Linked DNA regions of Diceros bicornis minor. The protein of the gene in region 1 interacts with the protein of each later gene in a pairwise test. Links are inferred from orthologs where the notes say so. Each region holds a gene or a part of one and is shown on either strand. Other genes may lie near its edges.

Region 1 (15,977 bases):
GAATGCCAGCATCAATATAGGAGAAGTCCCTCCCCCCATGGGAGGGGTTCTATTTGTTCCTTTCCAATTACAAAAATACATGCTAACTGAAGAAAATCATCTGCAATGCCAGCAAACAAGATACTAATTAATATTTTTAAGTATTTCCCACCGGTGATTTTCCAAAGATAACGTATATAGTTTTGCACCTTACACAATTTGTTCATTTAATACATTTCTGCAAATGTTTTAACGGCTAAATAACCTTCCACTGCATAAATGTGCCATAAATCTATTAAATCCCCTTACTGAAAGTTTAACTGGCTCAATTATTCATCAGTATAAATAATTCCAACAAACTCTAGAGTTAGAGACAGTTACCTTCCCTCCCTTTACAGATAGGTTAAGTGGTGTGACTTGCCAACAGTTACAATGTAACAGAGAATCTGTCCTTCAATCCTAGGTCCTGGGTTCCTTTCCTAATGCACACCAGAGCCTTTATCTGAGGAGCTTCAACATGTCAACCGCCCAAAAGGTGGGACTGAGGATTTTTTATCCACACCCTCCTAAACTGTTCCAACTTTATTATTCATGATCATGTGTCCACTTTTTCTAAGTAGCCCCAAGCTCTGAATAGCTCCTGAAACAAGTTTAGCTCGAAGGCCTTAAAAGGACTGGAATTAACTCTGGACAACTGATAGACAGTCTTGGTCTTTGAAGGCATGACCCTTGTGACATTAAAATTCCTGGGGAAAATCATCTTGCAGCCCAGCAGAGCACCGTGATGTTGTACCACCAATAGGTATTAATAAAACATTCTCCAAAGGATATAAGAAATGCAAAGTTTATTAAAGATTTTTAAGTTTACTGCCTGATTTATTTTCTGCCCGGAGTATATAGACCTAATATACGTGAAAATCTCTAGCTAATAATTAACAACGTCTGTGTTACAACAGCATATGAATTTGGGTTAGTTATCACAGCTTATTTACACACACCAAAAATCGTGCTCACTTTTGACCTGCCCCTGCGCCAGGTTCAAGGTAAATCATTTTAGTTCAAAACAAAATATATCTAAACAGCTGCATCCAGAACCTTCTTGGTCTTGTATTAAGTGCCTGGGAGTAAGAGCTCTGAGCTACACTCCAAGCTGCTCCCCAGATGGGGAAGCAGTGGTTCCTAACGGTAACCCTCCAGTACTATGATGTTTTTAAGTTACAACCCTAAGCACCACTATCATGCCCACCACCAGCACGAGCTCTTTCACACTGGTTTATCCCATATAAACCAGCCCGGTGGTGTAGTGGTTAAGCTGGTGCACTCCACTTCTGCGGCCCAGGGTTCTCTGGTTCGGACCCTGGGCACAGACCTACGCACCACTCATCAAGCCATGTTGAGGCAGCGTCCCACACAGAGCAACTAGAAGGATGTAAAACTATGACATACAACTATCTACTAGGGCTTTGGGGAGGAAAAAAGGAGGAAGATTGGCAACAGATGTTAGCTCAGGGCCAATCTTCCTCAAAAAAAATAAAAATAAAACCAAAAACGGTGGCGCAGCAGTTAAGTACACACTCTCCGCTGCAGCCCAGGGTTCGCGGGTTCGGATCCCGGGCGCGCACCAATGTGCCGCTTGTTAAGCCATGCTGTGGTGGCGTCCCATATAAAGTGGAGGAAGATGGGCACAGATGTTAGCCCAGGGCCAGTCTTCCTTAAGAAAAAAGGGGAGGACTGGCATCGGATGTTAGCCCAGGGCTAGTCCTCCTCACAAAAAAAAAAAAAACACCATTACAAAACAGGGAGGTCAAACCCTGTTGAACCCTAACAGACTGACTAGTGAAAGGCTGGATGGCTCTGGGAAAGGCAGAGTGGGTGAGCAAAGTAGAGGGAAAGGAGAACAAAGTGACCACAAAAAAGACATTCCTCATATTGCTTGAAATTTTCATGACTTGGGGTGGTGACTGAAGAAAGATTTGATGGTACAGAACCGGGCAAGTACTGGCTGTCCCACTTTTGTCAGCCCGAAAATCTCCCTTTTACTGGATTCTTTCTTCCAAGAACCCCCATATTTACTGAAAAGAGGATACAGACGACCACACCATCCGTTTCCTTTTTGAGGGGTTTAACGCTCCCAGTTTCGGAAATAACAAACCAGACAAGAACTATGTAGACACGGTCACCATCTTTTCTCTTAGTGAGCAATGTTTTACAGTCTGATTGATTAAAACAGCAAGAAGATAATCAAACAATTCTGACGTGGTGTCCACTGCTGCTTCAGCAAAGCAAGCCCAACAGAGCTGACACAAGGCCCCCTGCACCTTTTTCCAGCCTGCACCTCTCACTCTGTCAGTTTTGAGGGATCTCAAATCTTAACAAGCATGAAAAGACCAATTTACCTCCACACCGATTTCTGTGCCTGTCTACTTTCTTCGCTAGAAAGGGAGTTCCAATCTTGCCAAATACAAGATGTATTTAGAACTTGCTTTCTACTTTCAAAATTCACCCAATTCTTTTGGGTTGTTTTTTTGTGTGTGTGAGGAAGATCGGCCCTGAGCTAACATCTGCCACTCCTCCTCTTTTTTGCTGAGGAAGACTGGCCCTGGGCTAACCTCCGTGCCCGTCTTCCTCCACTTTATATCGGACGCCGCCACAGCATGGCCTGCCAAGCAGTGCGTTGGTGTGCGCCCGGGATCGGAACCGGTGAGCCCCGGGCCGCCGCAGGGGAGCATGCGCACTTAACCGCTTGCGCCACTGGGCCGGACCCTTAAAATTCATCCAATTCTTGATGATAAATTCAGAAAGTTACTTTTTTTGCAACTAAAATATACCTTTCAATTTTGTATGGACAACCTAAAATTCTGGGCCCTAGCTTGTGTGTGAGGAGGACACACAGAGACGAAAACAGGCCTTCTCGGGTCCCCTGCCCCCTCTGATATCCTTACCTCTTGGGCAGGTGAGCAAAGGGGTCCTTGGCCTTCGGCTCAGCAGCCAGTGCCTGCTCACATTCATCCATCTCTTCCTCAGGAGCAGGAGCAGCTGCCTTTTTCTCCTCTTTCCGCTCAGCCTGGGGCTTCTGCTTCTCCTCCCTTGAACCTTTCTCTTTCCGTGGGGTGTCCTTTTTAGGCTGGCTCTCTGCAAACTTTTTAGCTGGTGCAGAGGAAGGCAGAAGTGTCAGTGTCCTGCCTCCTTCCATATCCCCCAAAACCAGGCAGCACACAGGACAGCGGAAGAAAATTGTTGGACGGGCCAACTAAGGGATCTAAGCTCTACGCTGCCCTGCCACCAGTTCACTGGACATCCTTGAGCAAGAACACAACCCTCAGTAACAGATATGTATGCATCGTAATTATATATTAACACAAATGAGTGAGAGCACGTGTGCGTATAAAACAAGTTTCACAAAATGTTAGTTACCGCACACGATACTCTACATTCTGTGGGTCCACATAACCAGAAAGCTGGACAGGAAATCCAGGGGTTGAGACTGGGCAAACCATCCCAACCCTGGCCACATACTCTTCAACCTCCTCAGACTTACCATCAAACTGGGCCATCTTCTCACAGAGTTTCACCTCCCCCAAGACAGCCCGGAACTGGGGCTGGTTAATGCAGGTGAGGAACCAGCGATTGGTATTGGGGAAGGCCTGGCGGAAAGAGGGCTCCAGGACCTGCCAGGATGAAGGGTGGAAACAAAGTCAGTGGAGGGAAAGGTCCTGAAGTTTCAAGCCAGAGACCAAAAGACACTTGTTGCTTTCTATACCAAAGCTCCACCTTCCTCTAAACTCCTCAGACAGCAGCTCCCCAGAACACCATCTTACCCTGGAGGGCTACTTCCCATTTACCTTCCTAATCTTTTTTTTGCGGTCCAGTCCCATTTAATGGATGCTTGGTCCCACCTTCCATTTCCTACGAATCTACTTGGATTAATAACATTTATATGGTGGCTTGCTCCTTTTACAGAGCCATTTCACACCTAGAGTTTCCAATCTTTTAAATTTCACATGTCAATAAAATTAAAAAAAAAAAAAAAGGTTGGGACCAATAGAGGGCTAGCAATTACTCATTTTGGCAAATAAATAATAAAAACTATCTACATTAACTACATGATATACATATGTATATTACCATCAATCTTCAGAAAGTCAAGAACACTCAACAGCAAGAAACATAACTATTTCAGAACGGACAGTCCTTTAAATTAAACTTAGCTTCATGAAAAACTCATTTTCCTTTTTCTAGTTTGCCAAGATCAGAGGGAAAATAATCTTGTCATGGAGACAGAACATAGCAGTCAGCTCTGCTGGTTCTGCAGTGCTTGGGGTCAAACTCCACTCCACCACTTACTAGCTACAGGCCCTTGGGCAGGCTCCATTGTTCTTCACCCAGACAACAGGCAAAGACTCACTAAGATTATCCCCGTGAGGCCCTTGGCACAAGGTCTGGCACGAAGTAGGTGCTTTTTTCTTTGATGTCACGTTACTATTCTGGACCTGCATCAGTCCAAGAGCTGCTGTTTAGAAACCAGCACCAAGTCATCCTTTTTAACCCAATAACCTCAACAGTTGATTATCACTACCTTGATTTTATAGCTTACAGAGGATAAAAACAGGACTAAAGGAATTCACACACACACAGCCCTATACCTACAACTAGTAAGTAACGAAGCCAAGAAGTGAACCTAGTTCTGCCTCCCAAAGCTCTTGATGCTGAAACTACCACCCCTATCTCTGTCTTCACAACTAAACACAACTGGGCTTCCCAAGAAATATGGGAGCAAACTAAACATCTTAGCTGCCAAACAAAAACTAAGGCCAACAGAAGATTCCCCAACTTCTCAGGAGACAAAGCAGCCGTATCACTCAGTCCTGGGATTCCCAGACACTAGCTATTACCTCGGACTCCCTCACAAGCAAGTCCTTAGCAGAATACGGGGCAACCTGGAAGACCTGTCACTTCATTTCCAATCCCCACATACCCTCTGCCAACCTGATTCTTTATAAACTTCACCTGTTTATAGAGCCACAACAGGGTGCAAACAACTGTGATGTCAGCCAGTGTCACTCGTTCGCCCACCAGAAAAGTCCTCGTCTTCAAGTGAGCATCCAGCAGCCCCAGAATTCGCCTCACTTCCTCCTTTGCATTCTCTGTGGCCTATTGATTTAAAAGGATCAAACTTATCATTCAGAAAGTAAAGAACATTCAACAGCAAAAAAAGCCTAACAATTTCAGAATAGACAGTCCTTTAAATTAAACTCAGATTCGTGAAAAACTCATTTACCATTTTTTAGTTTGCCAAGATCAGAGAGAAAATAATCCCTTTCCCCCCCAATAAAGGAACTAAGGTAGCTTTTCAGTTACTGAGTCCCAGCCCATCCCTCCCCACCCCTTCAATGGAGTCAGATTCTAGGATCATTCCAAATGTATCACGAACTGAGCTCTCTCAGTGTTAAATTTCTTCATGGTGCAGTCTGGCTTCATTCCCAATGTAATAACCATAGCCCTATATCTTTCGATTCTTGAAGGAATCTTAGAGGTCATCTGATCTAACCACTCCCCCACCATTTGGTATATCCTTCCTACAGCAGAAATCGCTCTCTCCTCTGACCATGCATGACAGACACCACATCCACTGGGTCTGACAAAGAACCCAGATACCATCAACAGCCCAGCGCTCCAAACTTTCACCCCGAAGATTAGGTCTTCTCATTACCCAGATACTATTGGTACCTTTCTCAACCTATTTCTTAGTCCCCATCACTCAGGAGCTGATGTAGTCCCTGCCCATGGCTTCTCCCCAAGTTTCAAGGCTCACCTGCTTGTTGTGGTGCATGATGCCCAAGGTGGGGAACACCCAGGTACTGGCTGGGGGCACTATGTCACTATCAGCAAAGCTCACCCACTGGACCACCTGGGCTGCTGCCTCTGGAGTACTTCCCCGCAGCTCCTCATTGCTCACTGCAGAGGCAGAACAGAAAGGTCAAAACTTTGGAGTCATGCCAACACCAATCCAGGTCCCTGAAAATTCCTCTCCGTGTCCACTGTGGCTCACCCGCACCCTCTCCTACACCCCTCACCTCCAGACCCTCCCATTTCCACATCCACTGCAAATTACCATAGTAAGCAATGGCATTGCTCTCAAACACACAGAATCCATCATCACCCTCAAATGCTGGAACCTGGGGACAAAGCAGACAAAAGATAAGTAAAAAACACAGTCATCTCTCACTAGCCAATCCCAGGAACTGCACTGTTGTGGATACAAGTTTTTATATAAGGCTGACAACTCTTACTAACCAAACTCATCATACTATCTGAAACTCAGGAACCAAAAATACTTGAATAACTTGGTACCCCTTACAATCTGAACTCACACAAGAAACCCAAAAGATTTAGCTATCATCAAACATTTGTATAAAACTCCTCAATCAAATAAAGCAAAAGGCCAGAAGCCAAGTCTTCTATTGCTGTCTATATTATTCAAAGTATTATAGCACTCTACACACTGTACTTGGTCTCTTCTACTCTTAGCACAGTGATCTATCTCTGTAAGCCCCTTGGGGGAAGAATCCTGCTCAGTATATTTGCACTGAAAACAGTCAAAACTCATTCTCTCTCATAGAAACACAAAGTAAGCCTGTGAATTTTATAAAGTCACTGAATAGCACTGTATTATTTCTAACTACATGTGACTCTACAATTATCTCCAAACAAAAGTTTTTTTAAATCACCAAAATGTGAAAAAAAAAAAAAGATAACATGGAAAGCTCCCTTTTAAAAGATGGAGGCCATCTTCAAGGTGACAGAACCTTATGGCTCCTCGGGTTCTCAGGACCCAAGGCCCTTCTCCACTTCCCTACTCACCTTGCCGGCAGGAAATTTACGGAGAAACTCAGGGGTGCGGTTGGTTTGGCCAAAGTGGAAGTGGGGTGGTGCGGAGAGCACGCGGATCTGAGCCCCGCTGTACTGAGCGGCAATGAGGGCCTTGAAGGCCCTCCAGTTTTCAGGATATGTGTACAGGGTCTGTGCCAGAAAGAGGAGGCAAAGAAATATTAGTGTGAGTAGAAGGGTTCCAGTCCTAAGTGTCACCTCCCAGAATGACTTCCCTGAGTGATCCCAACCTGTTCAACCCACTCCTTTACTCCTCTGGTGAAGTGAATTCCTTAGTACCTGTCATGTGTAATCAGAGCCCTCCGAAATACCAGAGGACAGAACGACACATCAACTGCTAAATAAAGCTTGTTGACAGATCTGACCTTCCATAAGGACATCTCCAGAAGGATTCTCTTCCCCTCAAATCTATCTCCAAGAAATCCAGAAGTCCTAGGTCCCAAGGACTCCATCTGCCGCCAAGCATCCGCCCCTCCCTTCCCCGAGCCCTGGTTTCATTCATTGATGGTTTCCCGGTGCCTGCTACTCTACTGCTGAGCCGCTCACTCCTTCCTGAGCATCACTCTCGTCTCCAAGGCACACACACTCCGACCACGACATTCCCAAATTCCCCCCAAAATAGCCACGGAGATCTCCAACGGCATCTCCTCTTCCTAAATCAACTCGATCTCCCTAAAAAGCCTTTCTTTCCTGTCACGCGCACCATCACTCCCGTCCCGTCCCGCAGTGAGTTCCCTGGTGTTGCCTTTTCCCCTTCTATTAACCTGACCAGCGGGGTCCGACTGGTCTGACTCCACCGTCCGGAGGTTCCTCTCGCTCCCAAACCCCCCTGATGGATGACCCTTAACTGAGGCCAGCCCACAAAGACCCTCCTCTTCACCCCGTCCCTGCTGTTGTCCCACAAAACGGTCGCAAAAGTTCTGTCAACCTGCCCGGATCCCACGTCTCGAGGCGGCAATGAACCCGCACCCCTTGCTCTGGCCCCAGACGGTCAGGATCCGGCATGTTTTTTCTCCTCTGCCCCAGACCCTTCCACCTCTTTGGCCTCCGAAAGCCCCAGCCTCAGTTCCCCTCCGGAGCCTTGGAAGCCCTGCTCTCCAAGAGTACGGTCTCTAGATCCTGGGTCAGCCCCCCATTCGGCTCCAGAACTCCTCTGACGCCGGCTGGCCCCACTCGGGCAGAGGATGGCGTCGGATAGGGTGACTGGATCGCTAGAGCCGGCAAACTTACCCCAGCCGCCATGGTGATTCCGCAGAGAAAGGGGGTGGGGATCTCGGCGCTGCCGCAAAGTAAGCCGTCAGGGAGGGAAGGGAGGGGGGAAGGGAGAGCCGCGGAGAGACAGCAGCCGGAAAGCGAGGACGGCATAGAAGGCACACGCACGACAGTTCGGTATTCCGCGGCGACAGGCTTAGAAAAAGAAGGGGCGGGGCCTGCTGGCCTGCGCGGAAACGGCTCGCGCCTGCGCAGTGGGGCTCCTGGCTGGCCCGCCCCTCAGATACGGCCAATCGGAGTCCCGAGGTGGAGATAGAGGGCGCGGAGGGAGGGGAAACTGTGAGAAGTAGCTGGCAAGGCGCCCTTTGGCGGCTACGTGGCACAGCTGCCAGCCCTGTGCGGCGCCGGTCCCCGAGGAGGCGTTCTCTTGCGGCCTGCCGGGCCCGCAGTGTGATGCCTAGGGACGAGTGACTTGATGGCACGTCCTGCCAAGCCCCTAACACCATGATTGTGTGACACTCGCTGGAGCAGAAACAACTCCTGCGGAGGTGGCGGCTCGCCAAATTCCTTTTGTTCCCGCTGTGGTTTTCTAGCGCAGAGGACGTGTATCTAACCGGAGCCCAAGTCTGAAACCCTCTGTAAAAGTGGGGTTTTCTCCCATAAGCCACCTTGCAGCGCCTCGCTGTTACTACTTCGAGAAGAAGCGGCGCTAGTCCTGGAGCCTGCGGCAGAGGAGGGAGGGGCCCAAGGGAGAGCCCAGCCGCATCCCTTCCACCTGTCACCCTGGGGGGAGGCTGACAATTTAAGACAGATTCTGATGGGTTGCCCTTTACCCATGTTCAGGTTTGAAAATCTTTTCTCCAATTTAAGAACAGGATGAATTCTCCTGTTAAGTGAGAGAATGAAGCCCCTGAACCCAAATTTCAGGCCCTGTCACCATTCATAAATCTGGGAAGTAAGGTCAGTGTGGAGGCAGACTTGGTTCCTCTCACAGGTGCTACTCAACCCACCCACCCAGTACACCACAGTTCCAGAACTGAGTGGGCTCCAGGAGCCTGACTCACACGGTCCTAGGCACTCCCTGCAGTTGTGATAAATGGTACGCAGGACAGAAATGGGCTGCTGAGGTGGAGGAGCAGGGCGAGACCTGCTGTACTGGCCAGAGAAGGCACCTCTGAGAAGGTTGCATTACTTCTGGGGAGGGGAAGTACTGGGTGGGAAGAGGGTTATTACCGGGTAGAAATTAGAGGCAACTGTAGTGTTTATTAAACTAGCAGCTTTATTGCCCTTTAGGGCCCTGTCTTCACTTTAGGAGATTTCTAAGTGCTTGAGGGAGGAAAACCTGTAAGAAATGATGGAGATCAGGGAACAGGCCTTGGGCATCCCGGAGTGGAGTCACGGTGAGAGTGTGGTCAGCCTGGGAGGCAGCCGCCACAAAGGTCAGAAGCGGCTCAGCCTCTGGCCTCTGTTCAGCACTGCTCAGTCCTCTCAGCTCCTGGGTCACCCGAGCCTCAGTCGCCAGCCACTCTGCTCCTGTGCCAGCGCCACCTCCACCTCCTTCCTTGGTTTGCTGCTGCAAGCGTCTCCGGGCACGCCGCCGCCCCTGCCACACTCGGTGCCACAAGGCACAGCGCCAGCTCACTGAGGAGAGCAACACCCCCTTCCCTGTCTCACCTTGGGACCCTTCTCGGGCCACCTCAGGTCCTTGGGGCCCCTGCTCTGCCAGCGCTACATGGCTTGACTGCCCCTCTTCTCCCGTGGCTAGATGCTTGCTTGTCAGGAGCAGCTCCCCTGGCTGCCCAGGGCTCCGCATGGCCCAGTCCTGCACCGTCTCGCCAACCTCTACAACCATTTCTTCCACCCCATCTTCGCGGTGGTCCCCTGCACATTCCTGCTGCTCCTTCTTCCCCTCCTCACAGCTTTTTTCCTCTCCATCTAGTTTCAATCTTTTGCTTGTCCCTCCCTGGGGAGACTCCCCAGTTCCACCTCCCTCTGACCGCAGTCTCTTGGTTCCCTGTTCTATATGGCACCCCAATGCTTCTCTTAACACCTGGACCAGGGCAGCAGTGAGCTGGGTGAAGGGAGCAGCAGGTAAGGGGATGGGTGTTGCAGACAGCAGGGCACTAGGGGAACTGGGCTGCAGGAGGGGGAGCAGCCCCCAGTCCCGACCCCGGGAGGAACGGCGCTGGTACTGGAGGCTTCGGCAATAATTGGCTGCTGCTCGGCAGCAGTTCTGTAGCCGCCCGGCCACCCGGCTGGTCACATTGGCTGCCACATTGTGGCTCAGGTCAAAGGGGTCCTGGAGATTCATGGGGCCAAGGCGCAGACCCTCCCAGAGATTAGAGGGCAGGCCCCCTGCCACAGGCAGTGCCTGACCCTCCCGCAGGGACAGCAGTGAGCCACGAAGATCCCAGCAAGAGACGCAGGAGAAGAACTGGGCTAGCAGGGAACCTGGAGCAAGAGGAAAACCAGGGAAAAGGGCCACAGCTGAGATAAGCCCTGCAGCAGAGCCACTCCCTCAGCAGGACTTTCTTTTTCCCTTCCAAGGGGCTCAGAAGAGTGCCCAGAAGCCAGGCTCCTCTGATCCCTACACACAAGAGGTCAAGCCTCTCTCCCTGTGCCCCCAGCCACGTCCTGCCCCAGATGCTGCTCCTTCCCCTTGCTAACAGTGTAACCTTGGGCAAGCCACTTAATTACTCCAAGGCATGGTTTCTTCATCCGTCAAATGGCAATAATATTAGCTCTCACACGAGGTTGCTGTGAGAGCCATGCCTGGCACACAGTAACTGTGGGAGGTATGTTTCCTACTATTGTGATTAACATCATTTATTAGTCCTCTACCAGGCTCCCCAGACTCACTCAGGGGCTCCTTATTGGTGCTGGGCTCCAGTCTCGAGGCATCCCTGGGGAAGCTACAGTCCCAGCCATCAACCTCTACCTGTTCACCCTCACCTGTGAAAGTAAAAAAGGTGAGAGTCAGTCCAGAAGCAGGAAAATGGGGATGGAAACGAGGGTGATAGCAGAGACATCTGATTCCCAGGGTAGCTTAGTGTATCTAAGCGAGGTGAAGAAGAGAGAGAAAGCTAACAAGATCGAAAGTGGAGGCTGGGCTGCTGTACCTGCTTTCTGGGTGAGCTGGGCCACAGTGGGCAACACAGGAGGGTCCCTGGTCTGAAGGAAATAGATCACGAGCAAGGTCAGGGCGTAGTTATTGAGAAGGGGGCCACTCCCTGGGTAAATAATCAATAATTCCAGTTAGATTAGAGGTGCCTCCGATCCCCTCCTTGGCGGTTTTCTCAACCCCGGTTCCTGTACCTGCCTGTCTTTCTCTCCCTGAATCCCTGCCTTTGCCCTGACACCAACCCAGCCCCAAGTCTGTCTTGATTCATTCTCACCTGCCAGCCCTCGACCCTGAGCCCAGCAGCGGAGGGTGTACACGAGGGGCCGTACTCGTCCGTCCAGCTCAGAGCAGAGACTCAGGAAGCGGGAGTTATGCAGGGCCAGCCTGGGACAAAGGGAGACAAGGGTGTGAGGACTTGGGAACCCTCTGACCTATCATCCCCAGCTCTCACTCCAGACTTGCGCACTGGGGGCCAGCTGAAATAAGGCCAAAAGAGGGTTTCCAAAGTGTTTGCTGACACACTGGTCTTGTGAGAGGATGTACAAAACGCCAAATGTGTTTGGGAAACACTACATCCTAAGAATGTCTCGGACATTCACAGAGCATGTTATTATAAGGCTGCTCAGAGCCTTTAGTATGCAAAGCAACAAAGACAGGAAGGGAGGGAGAATGGGAGGACAGGAGAAAGAGAAGGAAAGAGGCAGTAGGGGAGGAGGGGGAAGGAAGAAACCTGTGCATTTAACTTAGCATTTCCCAAACATATTCAACCATGGAACTCTTTTCTAAATCTCTTAAAAACAGTATTCTAAGAAACACACTTTACGAACATTGACGTGGAAGCCAGAAAGGAGATGAGTGGCAGAAAGGGGGATGGGACCAAACAAGGATACCCTTGAGGCTCAGGAGATGCAGGACAGTCCCACACCAGGGCTCCCTCCTCAGCCACCCCAGAATGCTCAGCTGGCCTTCCCCAACCACCCTCTTAAACAAAGGTACCGGTTACTGAGGGAGACGTCACCGTGGAGACCTGAAGGCCGATGGCAGAACTTGACCACAGGACGTCGGGCAGAGGGCACTGTTTGGACTCGGTACACTCCAGGGACACAGCCCCGAAGAATGGATCCCACCAGCTCCAGCATGGCTACGCCCTCTGTTTTCTCCCCGTTCAGGGCCTCCGTTCGTTCCAGAGCCTTCCTCGGGTCCGCCTCGCCCCGGTCCTCCTGCAGTGGTGAGGCTGGAGGCAGGGACTGGGGAGAGGCGAGGGTCTCAGAGGCCAAAGCAGAGTCCGGAGTCCGTGGTGCCAGGGAGGAAGATGGGATTTCAAAGTCCAGGGCTTCTGAATCTTGGGGAGAGGTTGGAGGCTGCGAGTCTGGAGGGGAGGCTGGGGTGCAGGCCAGGGCTTGAGGATCCACTGGGGACGCAAGGGCTGAGTCCAAGGATGGAGAGTCAGGAGCCTTTGGGGCTGGCTGGGGATGGAAATGAGCTGAGTGAATGCTTCTCCTGCTGTACCCCAAGCCAGGAACATTCCCGTCCCCAAGATATATCTGTTACTTACTGCTTACCTGCCAGGCCCTATTCTAAGGGCTTTATATATATTAAGTCATTTACTCCGTACAATATTTTTTTAATTAAAAATAACCTTTTAATGCCATACAATAAATGGTCTGTATTCTGCAAAAATGTCATTGTAATGAAAGACAAAAAAAGGCAGAGGAGGGCCGGCCCTGTGGCTTAGCAGTTAAGTGCGCGCGCTCCGCTACTGGCGGCCCGGGTTCGGATCCCGGACGCGCACCGACGCACCGCTTCTCCGGCCATGCTGAGTCCAAGTCCCACATACAGCAACTAGAAGGATGTGCAACTATGACATACACCTATCTACTGGGGCTTTGGGGGAAAAAAAAAAGGAGGAGGATTGGCAATAGATGTTAGCTCAGAGCCAGTCTTCCTCAGCGAAAAGAGGAGGATTAGCATGGATGTTAGCTCAGGGCTGATCTTCCTCACAAAAAAAAAAAAAAAAAAAGGCAGAGGAACTGTTCCAGATTAAAAAAGACAACACAACAGTCCACTGTCAAAGTAGCTGACCCAATTGGAGAATGGAATGTAGATTAAAGTCTGGTAAAGTTGTACACTTGTACCAGTGTAATACTTCCTCAAATTGATAATTGTGCTGTGGTTGACACTAGAATATCTTGGTTCTTAGGTGCCACACACTGGAATAGTAAGAGGTATAGGATAATGATGGATGCCACCTACTCTCAAATGATTCAGAAAACAAAAATAATGTGTTTGTGTGTAGACAGAGAATGATAAAAGAAATTTTATTTTAAAAATAACCCCTTTTGCAGGGCAGAAGGTATCTGGGAACTTCGTACTTTCTGCTCAATTTTACTGTGAAACTAAAACAGTTCTAAAAAATAAAGGCTTTTAAAAACACAACCGGGCCGGCCCGTGGCTTAGCGGTTGAGTGCGTGCACTCCGCTGCTGGAGGCCCGGGTTCGGATCCCAGGTGCGCACCGACGCACCGCTTGTCCGGCCATGCTGAGGCTGTGTCCCACATACAGCAACTAGAAGGATGTGCAACTATGACATACAACTATCTACTGGGGCTTTGGGGGGGAAAAAATAAATAAATAAAATCTTAAAAAAAAAAAAAAAACATAACCCTTGGGGCCGGCCCAGTGGGACAGGCGGTTAAGTGCGTGCACTCTGCCGCAGCGGCCCAGGGTTCACCGGTTCAGATCCCGGGTGCACACCAACGCACTGCTTGGCGAGCCACGCTGTGGCAGCGTCCCATATAAAGTGGAGGAAGATGGGCATGGATGTTAGCCCAGGGCCAGTCTTCCTCAGCAAAAAAAAGAGGAGGATTGGCAGATGTTAGCACAGGGCTGATCTCCTCACAAAAAAAAGAAAAGAAACATAACCCTTTCCTATTCCACAAGCAGATAGATGTCAGAAAATACAGATGAGCAAAAACTTAACCCAGAAATTACCTTATTGTATGTCCTTTTATATATATTTTTTCCAAAATAAGACAAGATACACACCATTTTGAAATCTAGTGTTTTCCTGTTATAAATGCTATCTATCCCATGTCAATTCATTTTTATCCTATTGAGTACCCAGCCACATTCACATTTCTCCAATTACAATAACCCTGTCAGGTGGGTCCCACTGTCTCCATTTTACAGATGAGGAACTGAGGCATGAGAGGTAACTGCTTGCCCAGAGTCACATGACACTTCCCAACTGCCTCCCTGGTCACTCACCTGGGGCTCTTCCAAGTCACCCAGATCCAGGAAGAGGTCAAGATCACAGCCGTGGACGTCGAAGCTATTTATGGAAGAGCCAAAGGGATGGACCACACAGCCTGGGTGCCGAGTGGAGAATAAAGGTCAAGAGACATTGGGAAGAGTAGAGGGTGGAAGGACATACTGGGGCATGAAGGAGGAAGAGCAAACAAACACACCACTAGCTGAGGGGAGACTGGGCGCAGACGCAGGAGAGGGAAGGACAGGGAGGGCACAGACACAGTGAGGGAGGTGACTTACCAGGGAAGAACTCTGTGAAGACCTCCTGCATCAGGGCCACCACGAGGCTCCGAAGCTGCCGCTCAGCCTGGGACAACTCCCTCAGCCCCACGAGCTTTACCATTTGTGCCCCCACGTCAGGAGCCTCAGCGAGTGCTTTGGCCAGCTGGTGACTGTCGGGGGCCGCTCCCTTGGGGGATTTGGAGGCGGGGCTCTGGAACTCTTTCTGCTCCCGTGGTCGGACCCGCAGGCGATGTCCTCCCAGGCTGTGCTGGGGCTGTGACAGGACAGCTTCCCGGGCACCCACATCCCCCATCTCCACGATGGCAAACACTCCCTGGCAAACCACAACAGGGGCAGGGATGATGGTTTTGGAACCAAGAATCCAGACACACAGTCTGATAGTGGGTGGGAATCTTTGAAGTGGGGACCACCCTATAAATTGAGAATATTTGCTTAATGTTTCTGTAACAACAGGGAACATATTTAGAAAAGCAATTCTCTCCCTCACTTCTATCCCACACATTTTACTCTCAGCCCAGCTTGCCTCTGAAAATCTCATTTGACTTGTTTCATCCTCCCCTCCTCTTGCCAGTAATGTGATTTCACTGCTATACCATGACCCATCAATCCCCTAACTTTTCCTGCTTTAATTAGACTCTTAATATTGATTAAGAATCCATGTAATGAGCACTGTGCTAGGCATAAATACAAACACATAAACCCTATCTTTGACAAACTTACCATCCAGGAATAACAGCAATATGACAGCATGCTGCTATGATTTGGCTGAGTTCAATGAAATTTTTGGGCCATGTTTTTTTCAAAAGGTAAAATGTTAGCAGGAGCAGGAAAAGATATGACTGCTTTGGGGCACAAGTCCATATTCTTTCATATTCTCTTCAGTGGTAAAGCTAAAGCCTCATCCTACCTATAAAAAGGTACCCTCCACAGTAATCAAGACAGTGTAGTAGTGGCATAAAGACAGACATTCATATGAAGGGAATGTTATTGAGACTCCAGAAATAAACATGTACATCTATGGTAAACCATTTTCAACAAAGGTGCTAAGAACATTCGATGGGGAAAGAACAGTTTTCTCAACACATGGTGCTGGGACAACTGGACAGCCACATGCAAAAGAATGATGTTAGACCCCTACCTCACACCATATAAAAAATTAACTAGGGGGATGGCTTCGCCACTACACAGGCCTGAATCACAGATGGGGAATGAGTGATAACGGGTAT
Region 2 (16,080 bases), on another chromosome or scaffold:
CTCCGTAGGAAGACGTCTGCTTGGGTGGCACGCCAAAGAAGAGCTGTCCTATCCTGTCGAGGTACTGCAAGAGGCACAGGCACGGGTCACTGGGGAGACGTAATGTGCTGGACGTGCGCGCAACCCTGCAGCGAGTGCCCGCAACCCTGCAGCGAGTGCCCGCTCGCAGTCCTTCCACCCACTCTCAACTCAAGGCCCCATCTTATCTGTGAGGGCGGCACGTGGACCCGAGGGTTTCTCTCCACCTCCCTCTCCAGCTGCTGCCCGGAGTCCACAAGCTTCCACCTACCCGGCAAGCCCCTCACCTCGTTGTACATTGGGTCCCGCCGGAGGGACGGCTGGTACTGCTCACACAACACTGTGAACACTGTCAGTTTGCCTCTGAAACAAGGGAAGATGAGCACGACTCTGTTACTAACCCAAAATCAAGGAGAGTAAAAGGAAAACCACACACCTGTACACACACACCTATACACACATACACACTCACCTATACAAACATACCTACACTCATACCTATACACACATACATACACACTCACACACCTATACACATACATATCTATACACTCACCTATACATACATACCTACACACACCTATACACACATACTTGCACACCTATACACATACATACCTACACACACTCACCTACACATACCTACACTCACACCTATATACTCATACACACACCTACACACTCATACATACCTACACACACTCACCTATACATACATACCTACATTCACACCTATACACATACATACCTACATGCACAACTATACACATATACACACTATACCCACACACACACACCCCTACACATGTACATACCCCCCCACACACCTATACGCACATACCTACACACACATTCACCTATATATACATACCTACTCACACCTATATACATATACACACACACCTATATACACCCACATACACTCACATCTATACACATCCATACCCTTATATACTGGCACACCTATACACACACACCTATACACATACATACCTTCATACACTCACACACCTATACACACACACCTTCATACACTTGCACATCTATACACACACACACCTATACACACATACATACACATACACTAACACCTATTCACACACAGATACACACATACCCCTAGACACACAAACCTACACACACATACATACTCACACACACACACTGCATACATAAAACTCACCCATCTACGGCCAACAACAGAAACCAGATGAAATTAAGTAGGGGCTGCACAAATGGAGGGCCGTTCTCAATTGACGGGTGCTTCTGTGTGTAGGTTGTGAACACCACCGACGCACTGCTTTTATTTTTTAAACAGAGAAACCTGGAAATAAGGATATCCTAGTAAGTGGGAATCCTGAAGAAGGAAGAAACAGGGTTTCTATAAACATTTATGTGAACATTGAACACAGAATGCCACTGCAGGCACAGAGAGCCTCAGTGGTTACAGCCACCACGTGTGCGGGCCTGTGACATCCTCTCCCAGGCTGTGTGCCATGTGGCACCCATGGCCGGAACAACAGCTCCAATTACTGAAGGCCCGCTGAGCCAGGTTCTGTGCTCACACAGGCTGCCCCCGGTGAGCACAGCAACTCTGCATTCTCACAATTTGCAGGTGAAGAGAATTAAGCTTGGGAGGGTGACGCATCCAAGGTCAACAGGGCTCTGAGGGGTGAACTAAAACCTCCATTTTCTCTGCACCCATTAGGCATCTGCCTGCGTGAGCAGTCACCCCAGGTGCCCCGGACACCATGCTGGGCATGGGGACAGGCTCTGGTCTCTGCCCACGGGGGACATCTCCACAGCTGGACTCCACTGAGGTGCCGGCCCTCGATAATACTTTCTTTTTAAGGCATAAAGAGGGATCCACGAGAAGGGGTTTAGTGATCTCACACGCAGTGCCAAGTTCAGTCCAGAGAACGTATCTAAACAATATGCCACAAAGCCAGGGTCATTCAGTTCTGTATTTTAAAAAATGTTTCATTTTTAAAGTCAACGTCAGCAACAAATAGTACGCTCAGAAGCTCCGAGGTGCTATAAAGTACAGCAAGTCGTTGTGACCCAGCCCCCTTCAAATTCACAGAACACTCCGACCCAACGCCCGGCTACCAGATCAAAGTGTCTCTGTGGGAGGAAATAAACCTCTCCCCGTGACACATCTCCATCAGGAAGGGAGGATGGGCCCAAGTCGGGAACAAGCAGAAAGGGAGGCGCTTGGGCGGGCGGCCCTGCCTGATGTGGGCGCTCACTGCACAGCCCACTCAACCGTTGGACGTTTCAACATCTCAAGATGACTGCTGGAGAGAAAACGGGATGAGGAGGCCAAACGGGAGCAGAGGGACAAGACAGGATCCAGTGGGAATGAACGCTGGCTGTGAGAGGCGCTATCCACGTAGTGAAGCGTTCAGATGCACAAACCTCTGGAGAGAACAGCATAGCCTCTGATAGCCTGCTCACCCCACATCCCCAGATACCAGGTGAAACTTACTAAAGACGTGTGTCCTACAAAAGAAAGGTTGTCTGACACTGAAGAACCCCCAAAACATAAAAGAGTTAATAGGGAAAAACAGAAAATCGATGGTAACAGAAGAATGTTAATTTAAAACATTAAAACTCACTTCTTTTACTGCTCAATTGAAATCTTACAAGTGCCTGAGAATTCCGCTGGCTTAAGAGAGTTGAGAGGGACAATGTCTGTTGTCCCCAAGAGGTCTGCAGCAGGGGTTGCAAGGGCAACACTCGAGTGCGACCCTAAGTGACTCAGTGATTACCCTCCCACGTGTCTCGGTCAGGTGATGAGGTGACCAGCTCAGAGGCTGCCTCTGGAACCCCACAGCCACTGAAGCAAAGAGGCAACAGGTGCACACAGGTACCTACTGTAGGACAGCCTGGGCCACAAACATGTCCACCTCGCTGCGGAATCCCCTCGAGGTGGAATATTCCACCAGCATGTTGGCACAGCCTTCACCGTCAGTGGAGTGCAGGAAGTGATATCGAGATTCACAATAATTTTGTTCTATGAAGGCAAAAAGAGAAACCCGTCAACACAGACGTATCACAAACATGACGTATCAGGGGGCCTGAAAGACACCACTGCACACTCCCCACGCACCCGCTCTCGTTCTGCACAGCACTCCCCCTGCTCACACCGAGTGCAGCAGTGTAGACAGCGCACCGTCCTGCACACGGCAGCTCCACCAACATCTCACCAGCCACCTCCAATCCAAAGTCAAATACAAATGGCCAGACAGGGCAGGTCATTCAGCTCAGCTGAGTCATGCCAGCTGCCCCGCGTTCCCACATCAACATTTATATCAGCCGAACCGTGAGAAATGGCCAACAGGGACAGACTCTTTTGACCTACACGGATAGCAATTTCATACAGACATGATGAAACGAAATGCAAAATCCTGACACCAAGTCCACTGACCCCGACACACAAGCACCTTGAATCCCAGAGGAGCAGCCAGGACCGGGTCGAGGCCCGCCTTTCTCCCACAGGCCCGTAAGTCCGCCAAGAGCCCGCAGCCCCGCTCCCAGCCCATCCGCTCCCGCTCTTTCTTCTGCAGCACTTTCCACCCTCGAACAGACTCTACACTTGAGTTAATCGCCATGGTTACCGTCTGCCCCCCTCCACAAAGAGCTGAGTCCCATGAGGCCAGGTCTCATCGAGGCCGGCATGGAGCAGGCACCAGAGAGAAGCTCCTCTGGATGCAGGGCTGCTCATCCCACTGGGAACAGGACCAAAGTGCCTGTGAGAACCAATGGGTCCTGTATGCGGCGGGATGGTGGCGAGCGGCCTGTCTCTCCCGTCACCACCACCCTGGACTTGCACCTCTGATTTGTGCCCAGTAGAGGCTGGACTGTCCCCACTCAGGGCGGGGTCACCTGCGAGCTGGTCAGGAGGGTGGACTCTCCAGCCCTGAACTGGACCTGCATCCTAACAGCTCACTCGTGTGCACAGTCAAGTCTCAGTGGCCCTTTCTCAGTCCACGTGTCCCGTGGCCACACCTTTCATCAAGGCGCCAAGTTGCAGTGCTCACAGAGCGAGAGGGGAGGAGGATGTGAGCCCACTAGGGAACACGTGTCCTCTGACGCTGAGCTGTTTGAGCATCTCTGTTGTCAACTGGCTGATGGTCCCGACCTGCCCATTGCCAGTGGGCGTCAGGCTGTGAACTGGGCCTCCCATGCCACTCTGCCCCCCGCTCACCACTCACAATGCCTCTGCTCTTCTCCCACGTGCTGCCCCCTACACCAGCTCCTCCCATAGTGATTTCACCCCCGACACAGGACACTTGGCAATGTCTAAAGACGATTTTTGCTGCCACAGCCGTAGGTGCCCTTGGCATCTAGCTGGAGCCCAGGGACACTGCTCAGCACCCTGCAGTGCACAGGACACCCAGAGAGTTGGCAGCGCCAAGGCAGAGACCTGGTTCCAGGCCGAACCACCACCAGTTCCTGCTCAGACACCCCAGCTCCTCCAGGTCACCTGCCCACAGCCCGGCCGTCTCCCACAACAGACCGATCACCCCCTGCCCTGCTCACAGGCCACCCTGGCTCCCACTCATCCTTCCAGGGTAAGGTGCCGTGCCACCCGCCCCAGCCCGGCCCCGTGTGCCTGCTCTCTCCCATCTGCTACTGAGAACATAAGTTCCACCCAGGGAAGGCAGCCCCGCCTGCCCTCCAGGGCTCTGCATGAGCGTGGCACCGCCCCCACCACCTAAAAGGCGCTCCTAGCCTGGCATTAGCTCTTGGCACCCGGCTACTGCCTTCAGGAAACTCAGAATGATACGGAGTCAGCGTTCCTTTCTGCAGTCGTGTTTCGTTTGTCTCCCTTCTCTCCCTCCAACCCACAAAAATAACCTTTTGGTTTTAGAGCATCCACATGAGAAGAAAAATGAGGCAGGTAACTAAGCCCAGAAGTTCACGCCGGCATAGGGCCCCCTCGGAGCCCTGGAATGGAACCTCAAACACCGCATGTGGCGAGGAATGTGAATGGGGGCAAGTCGTGAACCCCAACCAACAAGGCGCAGGCAGTGGCCCCAGGACGCCCAGCAGAGAGCAGTTCTGGCCTCATACACCTGCCTGGAGGGGAGCCCCATCACTGCCTTTCTCAGGCTGGGCTCCCGCAGACACCCCCAAGCACGGCCCCTCCACACGAACTGGACACCCACACAGAACACTGCACATCTCTCCTGACAGTCTGTGCTTGAAGAAGAACATTCAACTGTCTCTATCCTGAATATTTAACACTGTAACAATAAATACACATCCTGAACCACCGAGGCCGAACCATCATGGTTCGCACATTCTGCTTCACAGACGCAGGGTCCCCATGGGCCCCACAAACATGGGCCGGGCAGGAGGGGTGTGGAATCAATGGTTGCTGGTTCCCACCTGCACATGCAGGCCCGACTCCTCTGGAAGACTTTCCCCACTGCCCTGTCGGGCCAGCCAGCAGATGGCCACGTGGGCTGCAGAACGGCACTTACCAGGCGTCCCGCACTGAATAAGACGGACTAATTCTGAGGGCAAGAGGGCGTGCCGGGGGAGACAGACAACAGCCGGGAAATAAATGGGCGCTGTGAGCGAGTAGCAGGAAACCTACGCTAATGAGGATGGCCCGGACGGGCCATGGGTGACATCAGGTGAGTTCTCAGGGATGAGGAGGAACCGGCTAGAAGCGCTGGGAGGAGGCTGAGTTTGGAAGAACGAGGCGCCCATGGGGAATGTGTGGCCAGAGGGAGGAGGGAGCCCGCTGGCTGTTGTGCCCGAAGGCGCCAGCTGCTCTTTCTCAGTAACGTTTCTTTTCTGGGTTAGAGTTGGGGGAGTGACTCAGCCACATCCTCTAAGAAGAGCTTCCTTAACTTTCTGGACTTCGAATTCTCTCAGGTCTGACCCATTATTCTCATTAATGTCCCTCTGGGGTGAGGGCAGGGCTGTGCCAACACCCAGAGGGACAGAGGAGCCTCACACCCCGCCTGCCACAGCAGGCGGGAGATGGCGAGTGGAGCGTCACCTGCCCCGAGAGAAGAAGGGACAGGCGAGGAGTGTGCTGCTGGACGAGGACCTGTGCATCAGCCCCACGGAGAGCAGAGGGAGGAGCACGCCCTGGGGTGGCTGGCTTGTGGAGCAGACAGACATTTACCCCATCCCCTGCCCCGAGTCAGAATGGCCGTTCCAGGAGGGCTGGCTGTTGTGGGTGCTATTCACAGGCTCATCTGCACTCACGTCCAGAGGAGAGGTGCCTTCAGCCCAGACCCTCTGAACTCTGACAGCTTCAAGCCTCGAGGCCCCGCCCTCTGCGCCGCAACGAGTCCCTGACCAGCATCGCCCTCTCTCCACTGGGCCCACCAGGTGACGTCCAGTGAGATGGGCGCACACACTTATATCTGCAACCAGGGCACGTGGAGGACCCAGCGAAAGCAGCTTTCTAAACCCCACCATCAGCCATCTTTCTAGTCACTCAACCAGCAGCTCCTCAGTGCCCTTCCCTGTGCCCAAGCAGCAGGCTCGGGGCTCGGGACATGCTCCCCACCCTCACGGCCTGACCAGTCCCCACAAATGCTCATTAGAAGATGTGACAAACGCTAAAAAGAAAAAACAGCGCCTGGCGCCGTAAGAGTGCTGGTCTGGAGGGACGTCTCAGGAAGGAGGACCCGTGGTGGGAGGAGCGAGGCCGCTGCCATGAGGACTCACAAGCCCCTGAGAGAGAAGGGGGCAGCCAAGGAAGGGTCACATGTGAAGGGCCAGCCCAGCGCGGCCGCCCTGTCCTCCCCGCTGCCTCGGCGCTTCTCCTTTGAGCGAGGTGACTCCACCGAGAGGAGATCCGCTATCAAGGCACAGACATTCACATTTAGCAAGACAGAAAAAACCCAGCCCGCGTTATCTCCGAGAGCAGGATCTCCCCTCCTCATCAGCTGTGGCAGATGATTCCAACCAATTAAAATGGAAAAGCAAATAAAAGCCAAAGGAAGCAGAGAGAGGGACACCTGCTCCCTGGACCAGCTCGCTCCCAGCCCTCTGGGAAGGCCCTCGGGCCGCCCACTCCCACACTTCCGAGAGCCGCTCTGCGCATGGGCTCACCAGGGCCTACCTTTCCACAGGGTGAGGGCCAGCAGCTGGTGGAGCCGGGGGTGGCCCAGTTTCCCGGATCCTCCACTGGACCACTTCAGGGCTCTAGACACAAAGGCCACTCGCTCCGGAGAATTTGGATCCATCAAACTAAACAGTTTAGCCAGATTTTCTAAAAACAACACAAACACAGACTCTTACCCAAAGGAATACACCACTTCTTCGTACAGTGCATCTTACAAAAATTCATTGGAAACAACAATTATTTCACTGCAGTAGAAAGCTGAGAAGCAACCTGCGTGTTGGTGGTGTCCCAGCGTACCCCCATGGGTCCTGGTGCTGTTGGGGGCCACCCCCAATTGACCTCCCCGCAGCAGTACCAGCAGCCACTGCTCCTTTCTGGCCTCACGGCTTAGCCCGCACTGGGGAGCTGGGCGGAGGGTGGGCTGCGGTGGGGAAGTGAAGCACCAGGCTGGCAAAGACCAGGAGCAGGACCCCTTCTTCATCTTCCCAGCTGGCAGCTCACAAGATGGGCTCCCCAACTGCATGCTCGCCAGAAAGGACAGGCCAGCAAGCCAGGTCTCTGAGACAAAATGACGCCCCACCTTGCCCACTGGCTGGCTGGGAGGCCATTGTCCATCAGAGCAGTGGACAGTATAGGTGGCTCCCGTGTGTGTGTGTGTGTGGCTACGTGAGAGCAGCCATGAGACCGTCTCGAGTGCACAGTAAGAAAGCCTCACCCAAGAGCTCATCGGCCACCTCGACGTCTGCCTTCTCCAGCGACTCTAAGACCAGCATGGACAAGTCTGCAGCACTGTTTTGCTACAAAACATGGAAACGAACAAGAATCCCACAGTTAGAAACAAAGCTCTGGCCGTTTTCAGAATGCACGGCAAAGCGAGGCAACTGCTCTGGGTTCCAGGTAGAAACCTGTGACAGAACAAAGCTGAGAAAACTCTTCTGAGCAGCGGAGTCACTTAGCAACACAGCCCGGATAGCTGACTCCCAGCCTGGGGTACACCCACAGAGAGCCGGGGGCCCTGCATCTGTGCCCCTGGACCCAAGGACACTCACCCAGCTGCAGGCAGAGCGGCCAGCACCAAGGACAGCCTGAGGTCATCCACCAGGTCTCTCCCTGGACATTCCCACCCCAACCCTCAGGCCCCAAGCAAAGAAGACCACGGGAGAAGCCCGCTGCTCACCTGGCCGTGGCTGAAGAACAGTAGCGCTCCTGAGCACATGAGCTCCCGGGCCTCTGCGTGCTTGTTCTGTGACATGTACCTGCAACGGAGACAGAGGGGAGCAGAGCGCCAGTCAGGGGCAGCTACCCACAACGCTTCACGCAGATGCCCCCAGAGTCTAACACACCCCTGAGTTCTGTCCGCCAAGCCACACAGGGACGGTTTCGGAGAGCAGATGCAAAGATAAGGCATCTGCATGAATGTGCGAGCATTATGAAGCTGGCGATCCCAGACACACACACACCTCCCACCAAGAACGGAAACAAGGCTGTTTTCTCTCCTGAGGTCTGCCGCCGCACCGAGTGGTCAAGGCACCCTGCCCCTGGGGTCTGTCCAGGCTCCACACTGGGGTGTCCCACAGCCCAGCTCCCCCTGGCCTGCATGAATCCCCATTGTCGGTGATCTGGGCCTCAGGGGACCAGCAGACCTGTGCCCCCTGCAGCATAACTATCTGATAACAGTGCGGGTGGGGGACCCTGCCTGGGCCCAGAAAGGCCTGGAGCCTGAGCAGCGCCTCCCTGCAGCCACTCCAGGGTCTTCAGCAGAAGGGAGGACTTCCATCTCAGGCACAGGCCTTGCCATGGTGGCAGGTGCTGCATGAAGGGGCGGGTGATGCACCCTCATCCCCTGGAGAACCACAGGTCAGGAGTGAGGCAGGGAACAAGGGACAGTGGGAGCTCAGCACGGAGGCTGACTGGGGGACAGTACCCACAGTAACTGCGTTGACCTCAGTGTCGGCTGCCAGACCACGTGCCCCCAAGCCCCCTCCCTGTGCTCCCCTCTGACTTCCTATGGGAGGCACAGGCCTGGGTGGGCGCCATCACCCTTGGTCGTGCATCACCCTCCCACTTTGAACATGTTTCTCACAAAGTACAGGAGCTGGGAAAAGCTGGTTTCCTGAACTGCAGAGGGACGGAAGCACAGAGCAGCAAGAAGCCTGGCAGGTAACGTGCAGACACAGAACAGAAAGGACGACGGTCCACCTGCAACAAACAATGTTCAGGGAGCAGACCGGGACTGAGCTGTTGCGTGTGGCACAGAGCCCCTGCCCGAGACAGAGAGTGTGAAATAGCAGAAAACGGCTTCCCAAAGCGAGGCACAGCCTCCAGTGGCAGCCGGCACAGCTGGCGCCAGAACATTTAACTCACCGGCTGTGTATTTATCTCAGTGATTATCAGAAAAGAAACATAACCAGTCAACCAAAACTGTGCCTCCAGCCCAAACAAATCCAGTTCAGGAGAGAAAGGAAGTAAGCCGTGGACGGGCACTCTCAGGACACGGCAAGCGCCGGTGCTGGCACAGGGGGCTCAAGGCCGAGCTTCCCCGGAGCACACCAGGGCCACAGTCAGGGGGGAATGCGAACGGCTGGCTGTTCCATTAACCACAGAAAAGGTCTTTTCTTCAAAGAGGCTCCGCAACCAGACACCCCCAGGAGAACACAGCCCCACTCCAGCCAGCACGCAGGGATCCAGCTGGCCCGGACACATGCCCCCATCTGGCTGTACAGAGGTGCGACTGGGAGGAAAAACCTGCATCCCAAGAAAGAAAACCACTGTCAGCCCGCAGGTCACCAGCACAGTCTGTGGTTTCTGCAACAGCGCCGCTGGGGCGGAGTCCTTTTCTCTCTCACACACGCGGCCTGCTCCCACAGCAGCCCAGGTCATCCCAGTCTAATCCTACGGGAGCCGCCCTGCACATGACCTGGTCCCAGCACCGCCATGGGGTGTTCTGGAAAAACAAGTATTCAGAGGTGCACAGCCTCATGCTGCCACCTGCACACACACAGAACTGTCGGCATTTTTCCTAAGTGACAACCACGCCAGCTTGTCTTGGCTTATTCATGACACGACAGAGTTGTAGACTCTTCTATGTGAGGTATAACAATAGAAAACCTCTTAGAAAACCAGATGAAAGAAAAAAAAGTCCCTGAAAAGCAGATAAAATTCTTGGGATAACGGAGCCTGCTTTCAGGAGGCAGTGATCGTGGCCCGTCTCAGGGCACGGAAGCCCACACAGGGGAGGGGGGTGGTGACCCGTCTACTGAGCACACACGCCACCAGGATTCCCACCAGTCATTCCCCACCCAGTCAAAGTCGCTGCTGCAGATCAAGGAAAGCTGGGGCGGGGGGGGGGGGCGGGGGGAGACAGTGAACGGCCACTATGAAAAATGAACGTGCTTCTTCCTGCAGAACTTCGCAAGTGGGAAGGGATCTGTTGAAGGGACTGACCAGGGGTGAGGTGCCCTCCAAGGCCTCAGGGGCTGGGAGCAGCCGGAACAAGACCCCTCCAGCACAGCGCCACCCACGCAGCCCCTCGCCTCTGCAGCTGCGCGTCCACACCTGCGCACCGTCGAAGTTGGCCTCTGCGTCCCCGATGGAAGGACGTTCCAGGCTGGCATGTGCCGGTGCTATCTGCCCACCAACTGATATGGCAGCAGCACATCTTTAGCCACACAGGATCACGTCTGTGCAATTATTCTAGTTTATTTTGTTCTTATTTTTTAAAAAAAGAGAGCAGAACATAGAAATGGAAGCAGTAATATCAGTGATAAAAACTGCAGATGTCAAATTAAGAAGACAGAGGTGTCAAAAGTCTCCGCTAACTGAAGCCCTGATGCAGCGGGGCTCAGGCGAGCTCAGCAACCCCGCCTCAGGGTCGCCCCTAGAACCCGGCTGAGCTGACAAGGCACAGCTGCCCATGTCCTAGCCACCCCTTCAGGAAAAGTCCACCCTCCGCATGGGGTTGCAGAGAACACGCGTTTTAAATTTTCCTTCTAAAAACTTCTTCATTCGACTTAAGAGGCAAAAGAAGGTTACAGGCCACAATCAACAATCAACACGAGTCTCAGGAGGGCCCTGTCAGTAGGAAGCCCCGATTTCAGTTAACTCACAGCGGGCCTGGGCCAGCTGCGGAGACCCCTTGAGGCGACAATGGCAGCACGGGGCCACCATGCCAAGCAGTCATGCCAGCCTCGGGGTTTATTTAACCGAGTACCAATAAACCAACAGGACGGGAAAACAGACTCCCTCCTCGTCCTGGCGGAGAGAGACCTGAAGAGACAAGGTGACCGCCCACTGCCAGCAGCACCACTGACGAGACAGAGCCAAACACAGACGCCCTGCCTCCAGCCCAACCAGCTGGACCGGCGACTACTGCCCACTCCTGTGGAACAGCCCCCCCCCCAAGTCCAATCTGTTGGATTGTCCAACTCCTTCTCCTAACCTCCTTAAACTGCTGTGGGATATAATGTAAGGGAATTAAAATAGTATAACTTGGTAAATGTATCCAACACGTGAATGGATAAATGAACTGGTCCATCCACACAACGAAAGACCCCTCAGCAATGAATGAACTGCTAACATACACATGGATGAATCTCCAAATGACCACGCCAGATGACTTCAGATAGAAAAACAGGACCTACTCTGTTATTCCACGTCTATAACATTCCAGATAAAAAAAAACAATCTATCATGACAGAGAGATCAGCGGTTGCCTGGGGGCAAGGGGTGAGAGATTGATTATAAAGGCAGATGAGAAAATTTGGGGGGGGGGGTGATGGATATTTTCGTCTTGCTTGGCAATACTGTCACAGGCCTGTACATATGTCAAAACTCACCAAGTTGTACATTTTATATAAATACTTAAATATAGATATATATATTTGTAAAAAGACATTAAAAAAAGACTAAAATTCAATGAATTTGACTTCTCCAGGAGTTAACCATTGTAGAGGGCTCTAACCCAGGGCTGGCATCATGGGTCTCAACACGGTCTGTACCCTGGAGGGACAGGGACAACTCCGGGCTATTTCTGTTAGGCCTCCAGGATGGCCACAACTGCCACCGCTGACCTGGTCCACTGCATCCCCCATGAGGCTGACGGCAGATTGCTAACTTCTCATCTCTCCTGGAGAACTGTAGGAGTAGCCCAAATGACACACGAGGAAGCCAAGGCTCAGAGAGGAGCAACAAGGTGTCCCGGGTCACAGGTCATGGAGCAGAAGTGGACTGTGAGCCCAGGTCAAGGCTGGGCTGGTGGAGAGCCTGATGTTCATCACCACCCCACAACGTCACCATGAAATGCATCCCGGGTGGAGGGACTTACCACTTTAAAGCTAATCGACATTCACGTTCCTCATGTAGCAGCCACTGCAGAACTGGCTCAAAACAAGGAGCACCGTGTTTATTTCTGGGATGATCCAGTTTTGCTGATTAATCACTGGGGCAAATATTTATATATATACAAATCCCCAAGAACAGCAAGCACTGGGGCAGACCTTGAGCAGACAAAAGCTTCCCGTCACAGATTTCTGACTGGCTGAGCCGCCTGGCGGGAGGCTCAGTGTCACAGAGTGTAATGCCCACACACATCTTCCTCATTCCTTGAAGAACCATCAACTCACTCCTAACTGGTCCTCTGGGCCACAACGTGCCACATTTAACCCAACCAAATTGGTAAACTACAACCAAAGCAGAAAGCACCACTAGAGTTCCCAAGATATTGATTCAACTTGCTATTTGAAGAAAATTTTAAAATCTAGGCCTAAAAGGTATAAATGCCCGACCCACTGCCCTTAAATATCTTACCAAAACATCTGCTGTTCTGCGGCAGTTGAGAAAGAAAACGCACTCTGTAGAACAGATTAAATCCTCTAAAACTATCTTTAATACATACCCAAGTTCTAATGAATCGCCCAATTGTTTTCTGGTTCCAACTATAAAGGATCACAGATGTGTAATTCACAAGAATGTCTCACACGTATAAAAACGATTTATGGCAGGGGCTGTGTGACAGCAGAAATATTGTGACACACTGCAGGCCAAAAAAATTAATGCAAGCTACACAGTTCGTTGAAAATTTATAGGGCCACACTAAAATAAAAACCACTTTATTTAACCCAGTAATATACAACCATCGTTTCAACATGAAATCAATGTTTTAAAAGTTGCAACGAGTTATTTCACGTCCTTTTTTGCACGCAGTGTTTGAAGCCCGCGTGTGTCTACACTCACAGCCCGTCCCACTTGGGACTCACCACGTTCCAGAAGCTCAGAGCCGCACGTGGCCAGCGGCCAGCGCACTGGGCAGCGCAGGTACGACACCATCAGGGTAATAAAAATAGCTGGTTTAGTAACAACACATAGCATGCGGGTGAGCAAGAGCGACCAAACAAGCAGAGAAACGTGTTTAAACCCTCACGACTGAACTCCTTGTGGGAGGAACCGTGAGACTCCGCGTGGGGGTTTCAAAGGCAACGGCGCTAGGGGCTCGACGGTGGGAGAGCCGGGGGAAAGGAGAGCGGGGTAGAGGACTCAGGCCGGGAGGTCAAGGGCAGGGTCCGGGGTTGGGGGTCTGGGGTCTGGACAGGGGTCCAGGATCGAGGGCCCATGGTCTGGGTCCGGAACCGGGGCTCCGGGGTTTGAGTCCAGGGTCTGGGTCCGGGGTCGGGGGTCTGGACAGGGGTCCGGGATCTGGGGTCTGGGGCGGGATCTGCGGTCCGGGGTCTGGGCCGGGGTCCGGAGCCCTCCCCGGGCCGCCGCACGGCCGCGCGCTCCGACCCTCGGCGACAGGCAGCGGCGCGGGCCAATGGGGGGCGGGGGCGGGCGCCGGCGGCGGAGGCCCGGGAAGGCGGCGGTCGGCTACCTGAAGAAGAGGGTCCGGTACATCTGGTGCGCCTCGTAGTAGTCGCCCTTCTCGACGCTGGCGCGCAGCTTGCCCTCCACGCGCTGGACGCCGCCGCGGTTCCGGGCGCCGTTCCGGGCGCTCTCCTGCTCGGCCATCGCAGCCGCCGCCATCGGGCCGGCGCTCCGCGCAGGGCTGACGCTGTCGCAGGCGCGGTCGGCAGCGCCTCTCGGCTTCCGTCCCGGCGGCCGCCCGACGCCCTCTACGGTGGCCGCGAGGAGCCACGGAGCGCTGGGGGCCGGCGGGCGGACGAGCGGCCACGTGACCGCGGGGCGGGGGCTGCGGGGCCACCACGTGACCGCGGGGCGGGGCTGCGGACCGCGGCTACTTGACCTCAGGCGGGTGCGCTGACCTCACAATGGCGAGCGCACGTGAGGGCGGAGCGGATAGGCGCGGCGGAGGAGAAACTGAGGCTCGGGAGTCGCGGCGCTGCCCTACCCCCAGCCCCCCAGTGCCCGGGAGGGTAGTCGCGGGTGAGGCAGCTGGCGTTCCAGCGACCGCCGACACTTGAACCGTCCGGCCGCTCCAGCGGAGTTTCGGGCGGGCCGCCCGGAGGCCTGGGCGCCGCTGCAACCGCCCGCCTCAGCCGTGGCGCGGGCGCGCCCGGTCGTCAGCCCCGCAGACGGAGGCTCTCGGTTCCCAGCTGGTGCCCGCGGTGAGAGCCCGGGGGCTGTTTGAGGAGCAGTCCTGCCCTGAGAGGGGCCCCGAGATGCTCTGGTGACAGGGAGGGGGGGCGACAACGGCACGTTGAGTGTGCCATCGTTGTGTCAGAAACGGAGGGGAAGCACGTGTTTAGGTTTTTCCTCATACACGCGTGTTTGCAGAAGGATAAGAAAGTGGTGACACGGTGATAGGAACGCTCGTCCCGGGGCAGCTGGTCTGGGGTAACCCTGGCTCGGCCTGAACTAACGCACCTCCGCCACGGCCTCAAACCCAGCCCGTCCACCCCGTGCCCCCGCTGAAGCCAGGAGCGCGGGCAGCCTCCTCACAGGGAGGCACGCGGCGTGAGGAACAGCGCCCCCGCGTGTCTGACGCGCACCCCTTGTTCTAAGAAAGGAGAAACGAATGGAAGCTACGCTTCCCCCGACGTTCTCCCTTTGTGGAGCCGCTTTCCCGACGGGTCCCCAGCGGGGCTCGGCGGAACCCCACCTTCTCGCTCCTCCAGAGAACAGCCGGTTACGGGTCATCTGCCTGGACAACCGGTTGCCCCTGAAAATCGACAGACGGGAGGTGGAGGCAGGAGGGAGCCTTCGCGGGCACCGCTCTCTCCGGGGACCTTGGCGCTCGAGTCCTGCCACCTGCCCCGTCCAGCGTTTCCTCAGCGTCACTCCTCCCGCTGTCCCGACCCCCAGTGTCACCTCCTCAGAGGGCTGCCCAGCCCCTTCTCTCGTGGCACGTGGGCCTCCCTCAGCTCCGCCCTTGCTCGCAGTGACCTCCGCGCGGTGCGGCACACACCGGCATCCGGTAAACACGGAGCGAACGAACTCTGCTCCGGCTTGATGGGGAGCCGTGCCAGCGCCCACCCTCAGCAACAGCGGCCCAGGGACAAGCGCTCCTCCGAGGAGACCCATCCCCTCTTCTCCCAAGTTTCTCCTCAAGCAATCTTCTCTGCACTGCAGCCTGTTCTCCACGTAAGGTGGCCATGGCCCAGGGTAAAGCTGGGGGAGCTGTGTGAGGACACGTCTCCATTAAAAAGCCCGTGACATAGAACGTGGCAGAAAGAACAGGCACATCTAGTCGTTCCTCCCCCAGACCTCCACGGGCAGAAACAAAAGCAAATTGAGAAAAGGGAAATATACTGTTTATTGTTCATTTGAAATATCACATGCACTTTTAAAAATTAAAACTCTTTATTTAAACATTTCAACAGCATCTTATTAATTTGGTGGCAGCAAAGGAAGGACTAACAAAGACAAATATTTTGAAAAGCATTTACAAAAATACATTGCACAGAGTCCTATCCTGCATCATTAAAAATAAATTAATATTCAAAATATTTCCACCCAACTCCCAAATTTAGTTTTATATAAGAAATTTTGATTTATATATTTATCCTGTAATA

What was found.
Region 2: the proteins of EEF1G (region 1) and GET4 interact in a two-hybrid assay, tested with the Homo sapiens proteins (2 studies listed by BioGRID and IntAct, with this or other methods). The link is inferred for Diceros bicornis minor from reciprocal best matches to the Homo sapiens genes EEF1G and GET4.

Annotation. Positions count from the first base shown.
Region 1 is NC_080770.1:10,510,385-10,526,361, reverse strand, and holds the start of EEF1G (elongation factor 1-gamma), read right to left. Parts: upstream 8,139-15,977; 5' UTR 8,110-8,138; coding exon 8,098-8,109; intron 7,000-8,097; coding exon 6,841-6,999; intron 6,156-6,840; coding exon 6,092-6,155; intron 5,935-6,091; coding exon 5,792-5,934; intron 5,131-5,791; coding exon 4,987-5,130; intron 3,648-4,986; coding exon 3,518-3,647; intron 3,127-3,517; coding exon 2,922-3,126; intron 1-2,921. Other genes in the region: TUT1 (speckle targeted PIP5K1A-regulated poly(A) polymerase), read right to left, coding at 9,383-10,530, 10,939-11,031, 11,199-11,309, 11,475-11,584, 12,197-12,666, 14,467-14,567, 14,749-15,064. UniProt on the Homo sapiens protein: Probably plays a role in anchoring the complex to other cellular components.
Region 2 is NC_080765.1:13,628,156-13,644,235, forward strand, and holds the start of GET4 (Golgi to ER traffic protein 4 homolog), read right to left. Parts: upstream 10,371-16,080; 5' UTR 9,473-10,370; coding exon 9,201-9,472; intron 8,711-9,200; coding exon 8,585-8,710; intron 8,374-8,584; coding exon 8,295-8,373; intron 7,915-8,294; coding exon 7,833-7,914; intron 7,265-7,832; coding exon 7,115-7,264; intron 3,035-7,114; coding exon 2,896-3,034; intron 1,343-2,895; coding exon 1,202-1,342; intron 382-1,201; coding exon 306-381; intron 65-305; coding exon 1-64. UniProt on the Homo sapiens protein: As part of a cytosolic protein quality control complex, the BAG6/BAT3 complex, maintains misfolded and hydrophobic patches-containing proteins in a soluble state and participates in their proper delivery to the endoplasmic reticulum or alternatively can promote their sorting to the proteasome where they undergo degradation.